Linked DNA regions of Saccharomyces cerevisiae S288C. The gene in region 2 interacts genetically with the main gene of each other region. Each region holds a gene or a part of one and is shown on either strand. Other genes may lie near its edges.

What was found. A genetic interaction does not mean that the proteins touch.
Region 1: mutations in PAC1 (region 2) and STU1 together harm fitness more than expected from each alone (negative genetic interaction), as found in Saccharomyces cerevisiae (4 studies listed by BioGRID, with this or other methods).

The regions. Positions count from the first base shown.
Region 1 is NC_001134.8:152,009-160,390, forward strand, and holds STU1 (Stu1p), read right to left. Parts: upstream 6,382-8,382; coding exon 1,840-6,381; downstream 1-1,839. Other genes in the region: DNA-directed DNA polymerase alpha subunit POL12, read right to left, coding at 1-1,602; RIB1 (GTP cyclohydrolase II), read right to left, coding at 6,648-7,685; HEK2 (Hek2p), read left to right, coding at 8,176-8,382.
Region 2 is NC_001147.6:820,859-828,369, reverse strand, and holds PAC1 (Pac1p), read right to left. Parts: upstream 1,986-7,511; coding exon 501-1,985; downstream 1-500. Other genes in the region: VPH1 (H(+)-transporting V0 sector ATPase subunit a), read left to right, coding at 1-318; YOR268C (uncharacterized protein), read left to right, coding at 2,438-2,836; putative serine/threonine protein kinase HRK1, read left to right, coding at 3,503-5,782; PNT1 (Pnt1p), read right to left, coding at 6,076-7,347.

The sequences.
Region 1 (8,382 bases), on a different chromosome or scaffold from region 2:
TGAGCAACCGAAGTATATCTCATTTATTTGAAAAGATGAAGGATTAGCCATGCATTTGAAGTTCCTTTTAGGCAGCTGTAAAGCCTTTCTAATTAAAGAAGCTTGTGGATATGCGGCGTGATTAGAAATTGCATCTTTTGTGGAGGGTATCAATACGGTTTGGATATGTGGTGATATGGTTTTTAGAATAGGAGTAAATAACTTCAAAAAAAGCTCGTCCAATGTTTTGGGCTGTGTCTTGAACTGGGGAAAATTTGGCAATTTACCACTCGCTATCAGAGGATGGGTGATATCTATAAATGGGCCAAACATTATCAAGACGTGAGGTTTTACCTCATTATTTATACTATCGATAAATTCTTGCAACAATTCGAGGGAGAAGTTATCATTTGCAAAGTATGGGCCACAGGTCACGATAACCTTCAAAGAAGAACCTTCCAAATTTGCTTGAAACTCCTGCAGTTCCTGCGATGTGGACACTGGGGAGTTTGGATAAGGTAGCGGCAAAATAGAGTTAACGGTGAAGTAATCCCCATTAGCATTTTTACCTTTGAATGCCACAATTTGGCCTAAGAAAAACGAAAGCTCGTTGACCTGCGATAGATCTAACCTTACCCTTCTTCCAACGCCGCCCATTCTTGAGGTCTCTAGGGAAAGCGATTCTGGATTCAAAAACTTGTCGTAGGTCGGCGAATCTGGAACTATCCTTCCAACAGCATAAATTTCGGACTGAGATTGAATAGTTGGATCAGCGAAGTCGTTTGGAGATAACTTATAGTGATTTTGAATAATCTTAGTAAACGATTCAATTTGATCATCGAGGACATCAGACGCTTCCTGTAAGTTTTGCCTCATTGTTCTGAATTTATACTTTTTAGCATCATAAAATGGTTCTACTTTGACCTGGTTATATGATGGTTCTTCAGTCGAAAGAAGGCCTACATTTGGATTACCAGATGATATTTCAATATTTTCAGGGTTCAAAGAATCCAAAATTTCACCAGCAGGAACATTTTGCCTCGATGTGGTAGGAGTGTTTGTTGTTGGAGTTTGGAATGTCGACGAGCCGGGAGTCTTGGCATCCGAGCTTTTAGCGTGGGACAATGGAGCACTGTCACCCACAGCATCTTCTGCCATGCCTGGAGTAAACTCCAATTTTAAAGAACTATTTCCTTTTTCATTTGTTTCTGCCTCAGAGCCTACATTATATGTTTGCTTGGAATCACTGAGTGAAAAGGGACCATGTAACTTTCTTTTTTTTAAAGTCGGAGTCTTTGGAATACTAAGGCCAAACAAGGGACTTGAATTCAAACTTTTTTTAATCACTGGTTTTTTTGTGGATGTGTTTACCTTAGAGGACGATGAAATTTGGTTAGCACGCTTTTCCATTTGTAATTGTAAAAATTGTTTAAACTCATCTATGTTCTTGGAAGTCAGATCTGTGTGAGTTTGACGCCTTTGATTGGAGAACTGCTCCCATTTAATGTATAGATCCTCGACGGACAATGCATGCAGTTTAGTTAAATTCTCTAATGCAGTGATGATTTCCGGCTTGTCTGCATCAGGCCCAAAATGAGTGATGACATCGATAGATCCGCTCATTTTTTTTTTTTTCAGTCACTTGCTCCTGCCTAAATTTACCTTCAAGCTTTGTTGAACCAATTGACAATCAATTATCTTGATATTTTTATATGCAAATATATTATGTATATGAAACAAAATGTTATATGTGTCTACAAAGAGCTCATATTATTACAGTTTTAGAAAAGAGAAAGAACTAAGAAACTCTGGTGAGACGCGTCACGGTAAAAAAAAATTACGCGTCTACCACGCTATTCTCTATTCGTTTGAGGCGATGAACATGATCATTTTAAAGACATTCTTAGGCAAACAATCGAATAATCGTTCGGTTTCTTGCTCAGTATAATCTGGAGTAGTTTGGAGGACTCTCAAACAACGAGCTAATACCACGGCACTGGTGAAGTTCCACGAAGTATTATCAGTCCCCATAATGAAATAGCTCATTGTTTGGATAATCTCTGATATATTAGATTTCTTGAATTGTTGGCAAATGGTAGGAGATTGCAGCATCTTCCATAAGGTCTCAATTAAAAATGTTTCTTTCACACCAGCGGTGTCAGGCTGAATTTCAGTAACCAACATGCTTAGAATTCTTGTTGCCGAATGTTTTTTGAAAAAGTGCGATAACATTAGACTGTCCCTGAACTCTTGCGCTAATTTATAGATTTCGTTTCCATAATCAGAAAATTTATTAAGCATTAAAAGGATCTGTTCCCATACTTCTTCGAAACACATTCTCACCGAAACGCCATCATCGTCGGCATTCTCGCTTAGTGTATTTAGAAACTTTTTCCAAACCAAAAGACAATGAACGAGAATTATGGACTTACTGGATATTTTTGATGGAATTGAAGGCGTGTCATCAGTAGATTTCAAAAGCATAATAGCAACATCCAGTAGTTCATCAAAACCATTTTCATTCGTCAACCAATCGGTCATTTTTTGATTTTGAAAACAAGTAATCAAGGGTTCGATCAGGTAATTTATATGTTTCATAGTGAACGATCCACTTTTTATCCTGTTTATTGCCTTTGACATGTGATTGAAATAGACATCAAAATCCATCAAAGTGTTGCCATTAGAATCAACCATTAAAAGATGACTAATTTCATATACAGTCAAGGAATCCCTTGGGAAATTATCCATGATAAGCAAATGCATCTTCTCTGATTTTTTGTTATTAACTAGTTTCATCTTTTTGGAGTTTATGTCTTGTTCAGTTAGTGCTACGTCTCTTTCTCTCTTTACTGTGATCCTTTGCTTTTGACCCATATTCTCGTCCCCGTTTATTTTGATTGGTGACATTGTTTCCAAATCAGGCTTTTCATTCTCATTCCCATTTCCAATAAGTTTTTCTGGCTCATTTATTATCTTTGGAGGATCTGTACTGAATTTTACTGTTGGTTCATTATCGTCCTTCAATTTCCTTTCGGTATTTTCACCACTGTTTTGAAAAATTTCACTTAAATTCAAATCAGATTTTTGAGAATTTTCCATATCTATATCATCTTCCTCCTTTGCTGGGTTTGGCTGGTCCAGTTGATAAACACTTACTATTTTCGTCATTTCTGAAAGCTTTTTATCTTTGTCATTATCATCATGAATAACTACGCTGTCTGTGCTTGATGTTCTTTTTCCAACGTTATTCTTCAACTCTAGTGTTTTATCAGTTTCCAAGTTTTTGAAGGGATTAATCATTGTCATTTCCATGCATTTCTTAACATCATTTTCGTCTACAGCATCGTCGGATTCCTCATCCCCTTCAGATTTTTTATTGTCGATGGGAGTGAAGCTTACAGAACTTTCTCTAGAAATGATGTCTTCTACCTTAAAGTTGGCATCCTTCTTTTCAAGTTCATGACAGATTTTCATCTTGGTAGATACAATGTCAAAATCAGCTAGCAATTTATTAAAACGATTATTATCGAATTTATAAATTTCAAAAATTAGATTGAAATAACATGTGTAGTCAAACTCTTTACCGTAGATTTGAAAGAGTATCATTGATATTTTAGGCATGAGATCGTTCGTTCCTGACCTCAGAGTGTTATCATGTTTTATGTTCAAGTTACGGAAAATCTCTAAAAGTAACTTGAAATTATAATTGAAAAAAGTGGTTTTGTATTTCATATAGTATAGTTTGAAATCATTCGGACAATTATTGGCATTCAAGAAATTGAATAAATCCGCGATAGTTATAATCAAGTTAGTAAGCTCGTAGGGCTTTTCAGGATTCATTCTATTCTTTAAGATTTCCGCGTAATCAAAACTATTAATAGAATATAGCTCAATGAGGTAATTTAAGGGAACTCCATTTGTAAACTTCTCTATACTCAAAAATGGCTTGAAATCATTTGGTGACTTTATCATAATTTGGCGTAGCTTTTTCATAATCATGGGAAATTCAAATTTTGGGGCTGATGATGACTGTTGCGATGTCAACAGTAACTCCTTTTGTAAATACTGTAAAGCATCTTTGATCTGAGCTGGAAACGAAGCATCATTGAATTTTTTGTAAAGGGTTTCATATTCACCAAGTTTATTACTGCCTTTTAATGAGATTGGAGAAGATGACATCGAAACATCATTTTTATCCATATATTTCTTTATCAACGGGTTAGAGTAACTATTTGATAACTCATCAGTCAAGTCGATTTGGTTTGACGGAAAGTCATCAAAATTTGTGTAATTTTCAGATACTTTTGTGGCGGCAGTAGAAGAAGGAGGGGCACTAACTTTTCTTTTAGTAACATTATTATTATCTTTGGTGTTGCTGTTTGAAACAGAGTTCATACTGTCATGATGCCTTGCCCTTTTTTCATTTTCTTTACTTGAATATTCACTAGTAGACCTTAAGTTTGTTTTCAGCTTATTTGATAGTTTACTGGCTATGACACTTCCACCAGCTGTGACTGCAGGAGCGTTGAGTAGGGAGGTGGAGGAAGATTGAGTCGGTTGGGCATAACTTGGATAGTTCCTTTTCTGCTCCAGTAAACTGGTTTTTCTTGAAGAATTATTCGAAGAGTGAGAGTACAATCGAGACGTTGCAGAGGAGGCGGAGGCAGTAGAGGACACCCTGGAAACTTGATAGTTTATATTCAAATGAGCAGGGATTGCCAATTCTGTTGCTTTTTTCAACTGTGGAGAAAAGGAAGAACTCAATAATCTTTTGGCATTTGTAGGATAACATTTGTAGAAATACCAAAAAGTTAACCTCATTGCCTCTCTAACGGTTGTCTGTGAATCTGAAATGCCCTTTTTTAGCCATTCTTCGATGTATATGATGTTATTCTCCAACTTTGAGGTTGGCGAAGTTGTATTTGAATTGTTGAGCGAAAGATTGGAGTCGTTGAACTTAATCAGGAAGCTACGCAGCAGTATTGCAGAGCAAAATCTCGGTGTTACGGTTTTCTCATTTATTAATAAAAAAGATAATTGGAATAGTTTATTATGGAAATGATTTATATCAATGATCAAAGTAATTAAACAATGAAATGCAGTTTGTGAAGAGATTTTCTTGGTAGATGATAACAAGTTCTTGAAAATGACAAATATTTGGTCCAATATTGATAGGGGCAACTGATCGTTTAGGATATGGATTAGCCTCTTGAGGAAAAGTAATGCAGTTAATGATAACGTTGTCCTCAACGACGAGGTAGCTCTTGAAATCAACTCAATCAACTGCACCTCCTTTATTACAGTGACAAATTCCTCTGGATTATCTTTGGGAATGTTGCCGGATATAATGTTGTCTAATTCAATTATATTTGATTGCCTTAGCTTCCAATTTTGTTCTGTTTCCTTTACACTTTGGAACGGTGCCAACAAATTCTCCAAGTCTTGTTGTAATTGGTTCAAAGACTCATAGTTTTTTTTCATCGCTGGGTCTTTACTGCTCAAGTTGTTTGATAACTGCGGCAATTTCGCTTCGGCTAATAGTAATTGAAACTCGTACTCTTCGTCAAACAAGGTCGATTTATCTTCTTGTGAACCATGCTGGTCCTGTGACTTTGCTAAACTTATGAATTTTTGCTTGAATTTCTCAACTTCTAAATCGTTAATAAATCCATCTATCAGATCCTGTGAATTTTCGTCATCCATTTTCAAATACTTGTACATTATATCGAAAATAAGCTCTATTATTACATTATTGTTATCATCGTTTGCGTGTTCATTTAGGTTGTTATTTAAAAGGTTGGTGAAAGACAGCATGAAAAACCTCAGTAGTTGCAAATGATTTGAATTATTTTTCTCGTTGATCTGGATCAACTCATCGATGGTCAATAATGTAGATTTTATCCTATTCAGGTAATCTCCGTTTTGGTTTTCACTTGGTCTTCGCAAGAAATTTGCTAGAATAGCTTGGATCTTCGATGGATTAACCAAATAAATGGCTTCAATGGCTTTAATGGAAGCCAGCCAAAATTTCTTCTCATTAGGCAACTCGAAAATTAAGTGGTTTAGTAATTGCTCAACTAGAGTGTCATTGAATTGTACTGGAGACTGCATGGCCACACGTTTGATAAGGTAACAAAGCGAGGAATGTGATAGGAAGATTAACCGCGGGTACGAACGGTAAGCGTAATGGCCGGAGATGAACAGTAACGCAGCGAAATAAGCTTGGATCGACGATTCGTTAACTAGTTCCTTTTTTACATGTCCTTTGAACCGTGTAAGCAGTGCCATTTTTTCCTCGATGGGTACAGACTCGTCCTTGAATACGGTATACAAAGGGAAGGAATCGTCTGGATGTGTATTAGTGTTGCTGTTATTATTGGTCTCATTGTTGAAGGACGACATTATTTCTGAAGAATACAAGGTCTCTCCAAAAACCCTAATAATTACCGCTAAATATGCCTGTCAATCGGATGAAGGGAAGTTTCAACCTCAAATGTAAATAAATAGATGTTTAGCGTTTTAGAATAAATAAGTAAATAATTTGATTTTCTATAAAGATGTTAATGCGCCAATACGCGCCGACGGGGTAACGCATTAAAATAACATGGTATTTTCGTTTCATTACAAAAAAAGCACTATATGTACTAATAATTATGCTACACTTGTGTTTATATTGCCAGCGTCGATGTTGATGACAACGCAGAGTTCATACGGTTTTGGTTTTGGGCTTCACTTGTCTCAGTAGGTTGAGGGTTTGTATGAAGTTTCAGAGGCTCCGTTAGTAAATGACCCATTCTTTCTATCTTGGTCCTGAGATAACCTTCTATCTCCTTGGAGTCTATGCCTTCACTGGAGTTTGTCCAGTGTATGGGTACCATAGGCACTCGTTCAACGCACTTAAGGTAAGGCGCATGATCTACCTGTTTTATCTTTTCCGGGTTATTTGTCAGCAGCCTGACATTACCGATGCCAAGATCCAGCAAAATAGCCTTACCCAGCGAGAAGTCCCTAGCATCCACGGGATGTTTCAGCATTAAGTTGGCCTGCACTGTGTCAGCACCTAAGTCTTGCAGGTTGTAGGCCTTGAGTTTCTCACCTAACCCGATGCCACGACCCTCTTGTCTTAGATACACGATAACACCATGGCCGTTTCCACCTTTGATGTTGCTTGTGGGTTCGTGGTCGCAAGCGATAAGCCTACCGGCCCTATCGAATTGTTCACCACAATCACAACGGGCGCTCCATGCGTTTTCACCGGTGTAACATTCAGAATGGATCCGTACCAGCGTGTCGTTATGGGCGTCCCATGTAGTGGCTTTGGAAGCTAATAACTCACCTGTACTATCATCAAACTCCAGAGCTAATCCGAGTCTATCGTCTTCGTCTGCCACAGTTCTGCCGGGATACAGTTTGCCAATATAAGCGCCCCTGATCATTCTATCTTGTTGCGTCTCGCACTGTCTTCTACGGAATAGCGAGCGCGACCGTATGTCTTCACCAAACACAATGGCTAGATGTTCCTTGTTGTCCCTGTTGTTACTGTAAAGATGTAAAAAGATATCCGGACCCTGTGTGGTTGGGATACGAGCTCTTGCGACACATTGTACTAGAGGCAAGCCGCCATCGCCGTTCCTGCCATCACCCGTACCACTAACCTCGTATTTGCTGCTATCCTGTTTACTGTTGTCGTAGTTATCTATGGTCATCCTGTAGGTTTGTTGTAGTTTTATGTACGCCACTTTTTGTAATGACTCAATTATTGTCCACGCCAGCACAGCAACTTCTTTATATATACTATAGCGGCGCTGGCGCTCACCCCACAAGAGCGTCCGACTAATTTCTGACAAATCGTAAAAAGAAAAAGAAAAACTCAAAGGAAAAAGAAAAAGTCTCACCCTACACAACTTGTTTTCAAAAACGGTATAGACCCTACTATTTCTGTTTTAGCCCTATGCTAAGTCTAGACATTACCCTATCCCTTTTAACGAAAGCCCTTTTGTTTTTTTTCTGTGTGTCCGGCCGCTCAGCCAAACAACAAACAAGACTATAATCTGGAGCATAAGTACCCGAGCATATATAACTACTTGGCATACGAAGTAAAAGCATATTGCTCCCCACTCCTATCGCGCGTCCCCTGTACAACAAAGCATCAACTTATCGGGTAACTTAGAGACAGCATTAGTATATATACCAGCCATGTCACAGTTCTTCGAAGCTGCTACTCCCGTTGCAATTCCCACAAACAATACCAACGGCGGCTCCAGTGATGCCGGCAGCGCCGCCACTGGCGGCGCCCCCGTTGTTGGCACCACCGCTCAACCCACCATCAATCACAGGCTTTTGCTGTCATTGAAAGAGGCTGCCAAGATCATTGGCACTAAGGGCTCCACCATCTCACGCATA
Region 2 (7,511 bases):
TTATGGGCCTTATCATTGGCACATGCTCAATTGTCTAGTGTTTTATGGACAATGACAATTCAAATTGCCTTTGGATTTAGAGGATTTGTGGGTGTGTTTATGACGGTTGCACTTTTTGCCATGTGGTTCGCACTAACATGTGCAGTTCTTGTTTTGATGGAAGGTACATCTGCCATGCTTCATTCCTTACGTTTGCACTGGGTTGAATCTATGTCCAAGTTTTTCGTGGGTGAAGGTTTACCATACGAACCATTCGCATTTGAGTATAAAGACATGGAAGTCGCTGTTGCTAGTGCAAGCTCTTCCGCTTCAAGCTAAATTTTGAGGACTTTTAAAAAAAGCGAAACATTTAAGTACTTCATTAAATAATAAATGATGCTACTATATAGTGAGTAAACCTTATTATATACTATCAATGCTAATTCAATAAAGTATTTAAAGTATCAACCAATGCTTAAAAAGAGTCAAAAAAAAGGGAAAAAGAAATAGGAAAGCCAAACTTATCTCATGAAAACGTTAGACTTGCAATCCAATCCACCAGTGACCATCATTTGCCTTGGGGTAACGTTAGAATCGAAATCCACATCCAGGTCTAAACAGTTGACAAATCCTGTATGCAACTTTTCCCAAACGTGTAAGCACTGCCCCGTGTTCAGATCCCAACATCTGACAGATTTATCATCAGCACAAGAAAACAAGTATTGGCCTCGAATACTAATATCTCTAACCCACGAAAGATGCCCCTTCAACGTAAGAACACATCTGAAATTTGAATCTGTAGGATTCGGTATGGGTGCTCTATGGGCCATTAACGTAGGTAGAGGTATCTCCCAGATTTTTATCGTTCTATCTCTTGACGCTGAGACACAATATTGCATCCCCCAATTCTTATATCGATCCGTTGATGGTGTTCTAAACCTTATCTCCGGAGAGTCTTCGATGAAATGAATAAATTTAACTTTCTCTATGGGAAATTCATGACCCGTGCCAACACTAAGACCATTACCTGATGGCCAATGTGTTAACCTTAATGTAGTGTCATGTGAACCAGAGATGATGTAATCGCCTAGAACGTCTATGGAACGAACCCATTGGGAATGAGGCTGAAATGTTTTCAACGACCAACCATTGTGGAAGTCCCAAATTTTAACAGTTTGATCTCTGGAACAGGACGCTATATGGACATCATTATTTTTCTGCCAGATTTTTACCGCAGAGACAATATGCTCATGGCCCAATAAAGACCTAATTTGTTGGAACTTGCATTCCTCGGAGACCCACTTGAAAACATGAATCTGCAAATCTTTAGACGCGGTAACGATCACCAAATAGTTCTTCTTGCTGGAGTTCGTATAATTGGTAAATAAAACATCCATGGAGGTAATTGCCTTGGTATGACTTTGCAAGGATGCCAGAGGGATGGTGTAGTTAAATAAATCAAATGCGTATAATTTGCCATGATCTGTGGCCACAAACACTATAGGCAAATTGGGATGTAGTTTGACGGAAGTGACAGATGATTCAACATTAATTAAACAGCTTGGTAGATTTCTCGGTATCCATTTCAAAACATTATGTGCGCTGGTGCCGTTACTGGTGGTAGGTTTGAATTGTGCTAGTTCTGACACTTGAGTGTTCAAATCTTTAATCTGAGATACAAGGGTCTCTGTATTCTGCTCCAATTCAATGATTTTTTTTTGTAGTCTAACAATTGAGTTCCACTTCTTCGGTAGCAGTAATTCATCAATGTCTACCATACTTTCGTTACTGGTGTCATTGTTACTGATGAATTCTTGCCGGTCCACTGATTCTTGCAACAGAAAACCTGATAGAGTTACAATTGCATGTCGAACACTTTCGTAATCTTGAGCATGCTCATGTCGTACAGTTTGTTTGTAATTCCAATTCAAATATCGGAGGACACTTTTATCGAGTTCATTTTTCTGTGTATCTGTTAAAGGAAGCTGTTGCTGCCAGTTAGTCATTTCTATTTTTTTCTACACTTACGCACGCACAGGTGTATACCAACAACCGGACGACGAACCTAGCTGCTTTATCAATGGCTATCTGGGCGACGATGGCCCAATACTAAGATTACCTATTACGTTTACACTCGCCAAAAATAAGAAACAAGTGCAATATGCACGACTTGCAAGCTGAAAATATTTCAAAACACCCACATCCCACAGCACAAAACCAGTGCAAATTCCATAAAGGGAAGTGAATTAAATTCAATGGTAGATGAAAGCACTTTTTCAGGAACCGTTTTAAGATCTAATTGTAGTTTACCAAGATATACTAAAACGTCGTTACTCGTTTTATTTACCTACCATTAGCTAACCGTTGCCATGGCTACCGTCCGGGTCGCCAGCGGCTGCTACTGCAAAAGTTGACAACGAAAAAGAGAAAAAAAAAATTCTCGGCACGCAAGACCTGAATGGTTTTTGTTTTCCCCTTCCCATTTTTTTCTTATGGTTTTTCCAGTTTTCTAGAAGCCGGAAAAAAGGCAAGCTACAAAATGTACTACGCGGAGCCAGAATTAAAAACCACGCGGACGGGACGGGCCGTGGCTTGTGACGCCGGATCCCCGCGTATAATCCGTGTCACGCTAAAGGACAAAATCGGTTTATCCGAGCGGTTTACGGGAAGGGTCTTTTGCTATCTCGCAGTAGCGTGTGCCTGGTTATCCCAATACTACCACCACACCTGTGCTTTTTTTATCTTGTACGTGCATGTATGCGTATGTTTTCTTTTTTTCCGTTGGTGCTTATTCGCTACCGTCTCGTTGATCCATGAATCACAAACACAAGCCGGTTCTGCTTACTATACAAAATAGTCTTGTGTCTTGATTCATATATCCGTCAATAACGTAGCCTTTCTTTATTTTCCTTTCGCTCACCATACTCTTGCATTAGTGTATTTTGTCTTTTATATCGCCAATAAGTGCCCAACTCTTCTACCTGACCCCTACGTCGTCGCCGCCCCTTTTCTTTTTCTTCGCCTAGTTCTATTTGGCTATATATTTCAGAGTGACAAATCTTTAAGAGAGACAAACTGAGAATTAGCATATAGAATCATTCATACAACTGTTTACAAACAAGTAAGCCCAAGACAGTTCCCAACCGCTTAAAGAAGTTTTTCCTAGAGGGAGCAAAGTTCGTTTACATTTCACACACACAGTTTTTTTTCACTTTTTTGGGCCTCTTCCTTTTCCCGTTTTTTTCAAAAAGCTTAGAAATCTTCTTCACCTCCTATTTTTCTAGAATCGTGAAGAATTTCCAGATTTAACAGTTTTCCACTTTTTCAATAAGGAAATAGTAGGAATAATAAAAAAAGGATAGTAGTAACGATATACGTCGACTTTCCAGACTGGTCTCGAGCCGGAATTAAATACAATAGCAGCGTTTGACTACCACATTGTAGCTCCGCTAGAATTGATCGAAAACAAAAATAATAACACTAATAATTATAATAATACGGTAGAACTATTTCTCGTATAAAGATGCCTAATCTATTGTCGAGAAACCCATTCCATGGTCATCATAATGACCATCATCATGACCGTGAAAATTCGTCTAATAACCCGCCACAGTTGATCAGAAGTTCTAAATCTTTCTTAAACTTCATTGGTAGAAAACAAAGTAATGACTCACTAAGAAGCGAGAAATCTACAGATTCCATGAAATCTACCACAACCACTACAAATTATACTACAACAAACCTTAATAACAACACCCATAGCCATTCTAATGCAACCAGTATCTCAACAAACAACTACAATAATAACTATGAAACAAACCACCACCATAATATTTCTCATGGGCTCCATGACTATACTTCTCCCGCCTCTCCAAAACAAACCCACTCCATGGCAGAATTGAAAAGGTTTTTCAGACCTTCTGTAAATAAAAAACTATCTATGTCTCAACTTCGTTCCAAGAAACATAGCACCCATTCCCCCCCACCTTCAAAATCAACTTCTACAGTTAATTTAAATAATCACTATCGTGCCCAGCATCCTCATGGCTTTACAGACCACTATGCTCATACCCAGTCTGCTATACCGCCAAGTACCGATTCTATCCTATCTTTGTCCAATAATATTAATATATATCACGATGATTGTATTCTGGCTCAAAAATACGGGAAATTGGGTAAGTTATTGGGTTCCGGTGCCGGTGGGTCCGTTAAAGTTCTTGTGAGACCAACTGATGGTGCTACTTTTGCCGTCAAAGAATTCAGACCAAGGAAACCGAATGAGAGTGTGAAAGAATATGCCAAGAAGTGCACCGCAGAATTTTGTATTGGTTCGACTTTACATCACCCAAATGTTATCGAAACTGTTGACGTTTTCTCTGATTCTAAACAAAATAAATACTATGAAGTTATGGAGTACTGTCCGATTGATTTTTTTGCTGTTGTTATGACAGGCAAGATGTCTCGTGGCGAGATCAACTGTTGCTTGAAGCAATTGACTGAAGGTGTTAAATATTTACATTCTATGGGATTGGCACATAGAGATTTGAAATTGGATAATTGTGTCATGACTTCCCAGGGTATTTTGAAATTAATTGATTTTGGTAGTGCTGTTGTGTTCAGATATCCTTTTGAAGATGGCGTAACGATGGCTCATGGAATCGTGGGTAGTGACCCTTACTTAGCGCCGGAAGTGATTACCTCCACCAAATCTTATGATCCTCAGTGCGTCGATATATGGTCTATTGGGATCATATATTGTTGTATGGTGCTTAAAAGGTTTCCATGGAAAGCCCCTAGAGATTCTGACGATAATTTTAGATTATATTGTATGCCGGATGATATAGAACACGACTATGTTGAATCTGCCAGGCATCACGAAGAGTTACTGAAGGAAAGAAAAGAAAAGCGTCAAAGGTTTTTGAATCACAGTGACTGTTCCGCCATCAATCAGCAACAACCAGCTCATGAATCAAACTTGAAAACAGTTCAAAATCAAGTTCCAAATACTCCAGCATCTATACAGGGTAAAAGCGATAACAAACCAGACATTGTGGAAGAAGAAACCGAAGAAAATAAAGAAGATGATAGCAATAATGATAAAGAAAGCACGCCAGATAATGACAAGGAAAGTACCATCGATATTAAAATAAGCAAAAATGAGAATAAAAGCACGGTAGTTTCAGCTAACCCAAAGAAAGTAGATGCCGATGCCGACGCTGATTGCGATGCTAATGGTGACTCTAACGGCAGAGTGGATTGCAAGGCTAACAGTGACTGCAATGACAAAACGGATTGTAATGCTAACAATGACTGCAGCAATGAATCGGATTGTAACGCTAAAGTTGATACTAACGTCAACACTGCTGCCAACGCTAACCCTGATATGGTTCCCCAAAACAATCCACAACAACAACAACAACAACAACAACAACAACAACAACAACAACAACAACAACAACAACAACACCATCATCACCAGCATCAAAATCAAGACAAGGCCCATAGTATCGCTTCCGATAATAAATCGAGTCAACAGCACAGAGGACCTCACCATAAAAAAATTATTCATGGCCCATACCGTCTATTACGTCTACTACCACATGCTTCAAGACCTATCATGTCCCGTATACTGCAAGTAGATCCAAAGAAAAGAGCAACCTTAGATGATATTTTTAATGATGAATGGTTTGCCGCCATTGCTGCCTGTACCATGGATTCAAAAAATAAAGTTATTAGAGCGCCTGGCCATCACCATACATTGGTTAGGGAGGAAAATGCTCACTTAGAGACCTACAAGGTTTAATACGAACTACTCAATTATTTTCACTTCTTTTTTCGATTAATTTAATTGTATTTTCTATTTTTTCTTATTTTTTTCTTTCACTTTCCAATTGAAACGCTTGACGAAAATCTATATACTATATATACGGAAGAGTATCTATCATATTATACATACAATATAGAGTAACATTGCCCTTTGCTCCAAAAGCAAGAAACATCACTGAATTATTGTTTGAATTTGCAATTAGAAAAGTTTAAAAGAGTTTTTGTTTTAAACAATATGTACAGCATAGATAATGTCATGAATATTTACATCTATTGAATATCTTTCGTAGCTACCAATTCTGAATTATATTTTAACAATGATATATTGTTGACACCCCATTTCTCACTGAATGTATGCTTTCCGTTTAAGGATATAGTGTCATTATATCTTAATGTCCAATAAAGAAACAATCTTTTCAGTAAGATTTCTTTCCCTAACGTGTCATTAACCATCTCATTCAAGTCATCGCCCATGTGATAAAGTTTTCTTTCAAGTATACAGTTAACCAATTCTCTATCACTTAGCGCGATTTTAGTTTTCTCAACATCAGTGTTGAGTATACTCTGCAACAGCAACCAGTCATCGATAAACAGATACTGGTAAATTTTTTCTATCTCATTGCAAAGTAGCTTCTGTAATTTTAACTTTTTATAAATATACAGTTTCCAGTTTGATATCATACTTTGAGGAAAGCTTGTCAGAAAATTATACAAATTCTCAATAGGAACTGCATATGGTGGCTCATACTTAATTGTACCTTGCTTAGTAAACTCTAAGGGACCCAGACCGTAGTTACCTTGTGTGCTTGTTGTTCCCTTGATATATGAGTTGGAAAGCTTCTTGTATCCACCAGGAGTTAAACAATTGTACGGACAGACACGTGGAAAAAAGGTAAAGATCAATACACTTACCTCCTCAAATATGAATACTAAGGTGAAAAATACAGGTAATTTCCAGATTTGATCTCGTCTGATCAGTTCCACCAGTGTTTTCCTATTGATTGAAAGTGGCCTTAATGGGGCTTTTGCTGAAGAACTTGTAGGCAATGATGAAGACGATAGTCTTGTATTGATTTCATGCATTTCTATTTCCCGTACTAAGTTAGCCAATGCACCGTTTTTTATGCTGAATTTCTGCTCTTCGTTTCGAGTATCCCAGAATACTTTTAACGTGTTCTGAATTCCTGTTTTATAGCTTTTTAAAAGATACAATCCAATTCTAAACCAACCTGTCATGAATTTCCTCCATTTGCCAACCTTAGTATCCAATTTTACCTGTTCCAAGATCTCCTGCTTGGGGAACTTAGTCATTGGTAGGGATCGATTAGAGTTTAGAGTAGCGGCCAGAGGCTCTGGAGAATCGGATGGTGTTGTCTTCGCATTCCAATCGACATCCTGTACTATCTGTAGTGAACCTAATTTGTAACGGCTATTCAACGCTTTAAATAGTGGTGCCTTCACTAAACCGTGCAATTGAATAGAATCGCTTTTTATCACCGATGGTGCTATGTATTTTCGTACCAGTGCAACTCGAGAATCCATATCGATGGCATTAAAGGTGTTAACTCAATTAAATAGATTAATAAAGTTCTTTTTAAATATAGAGTAAAATGTTCTTATATCTCGTCACTGTATCAACAGCCGTCTTCCACTTTTCTACTTTTGCATATAATATTCCGTGCATTTTCTAGCGAGATTTATTATTC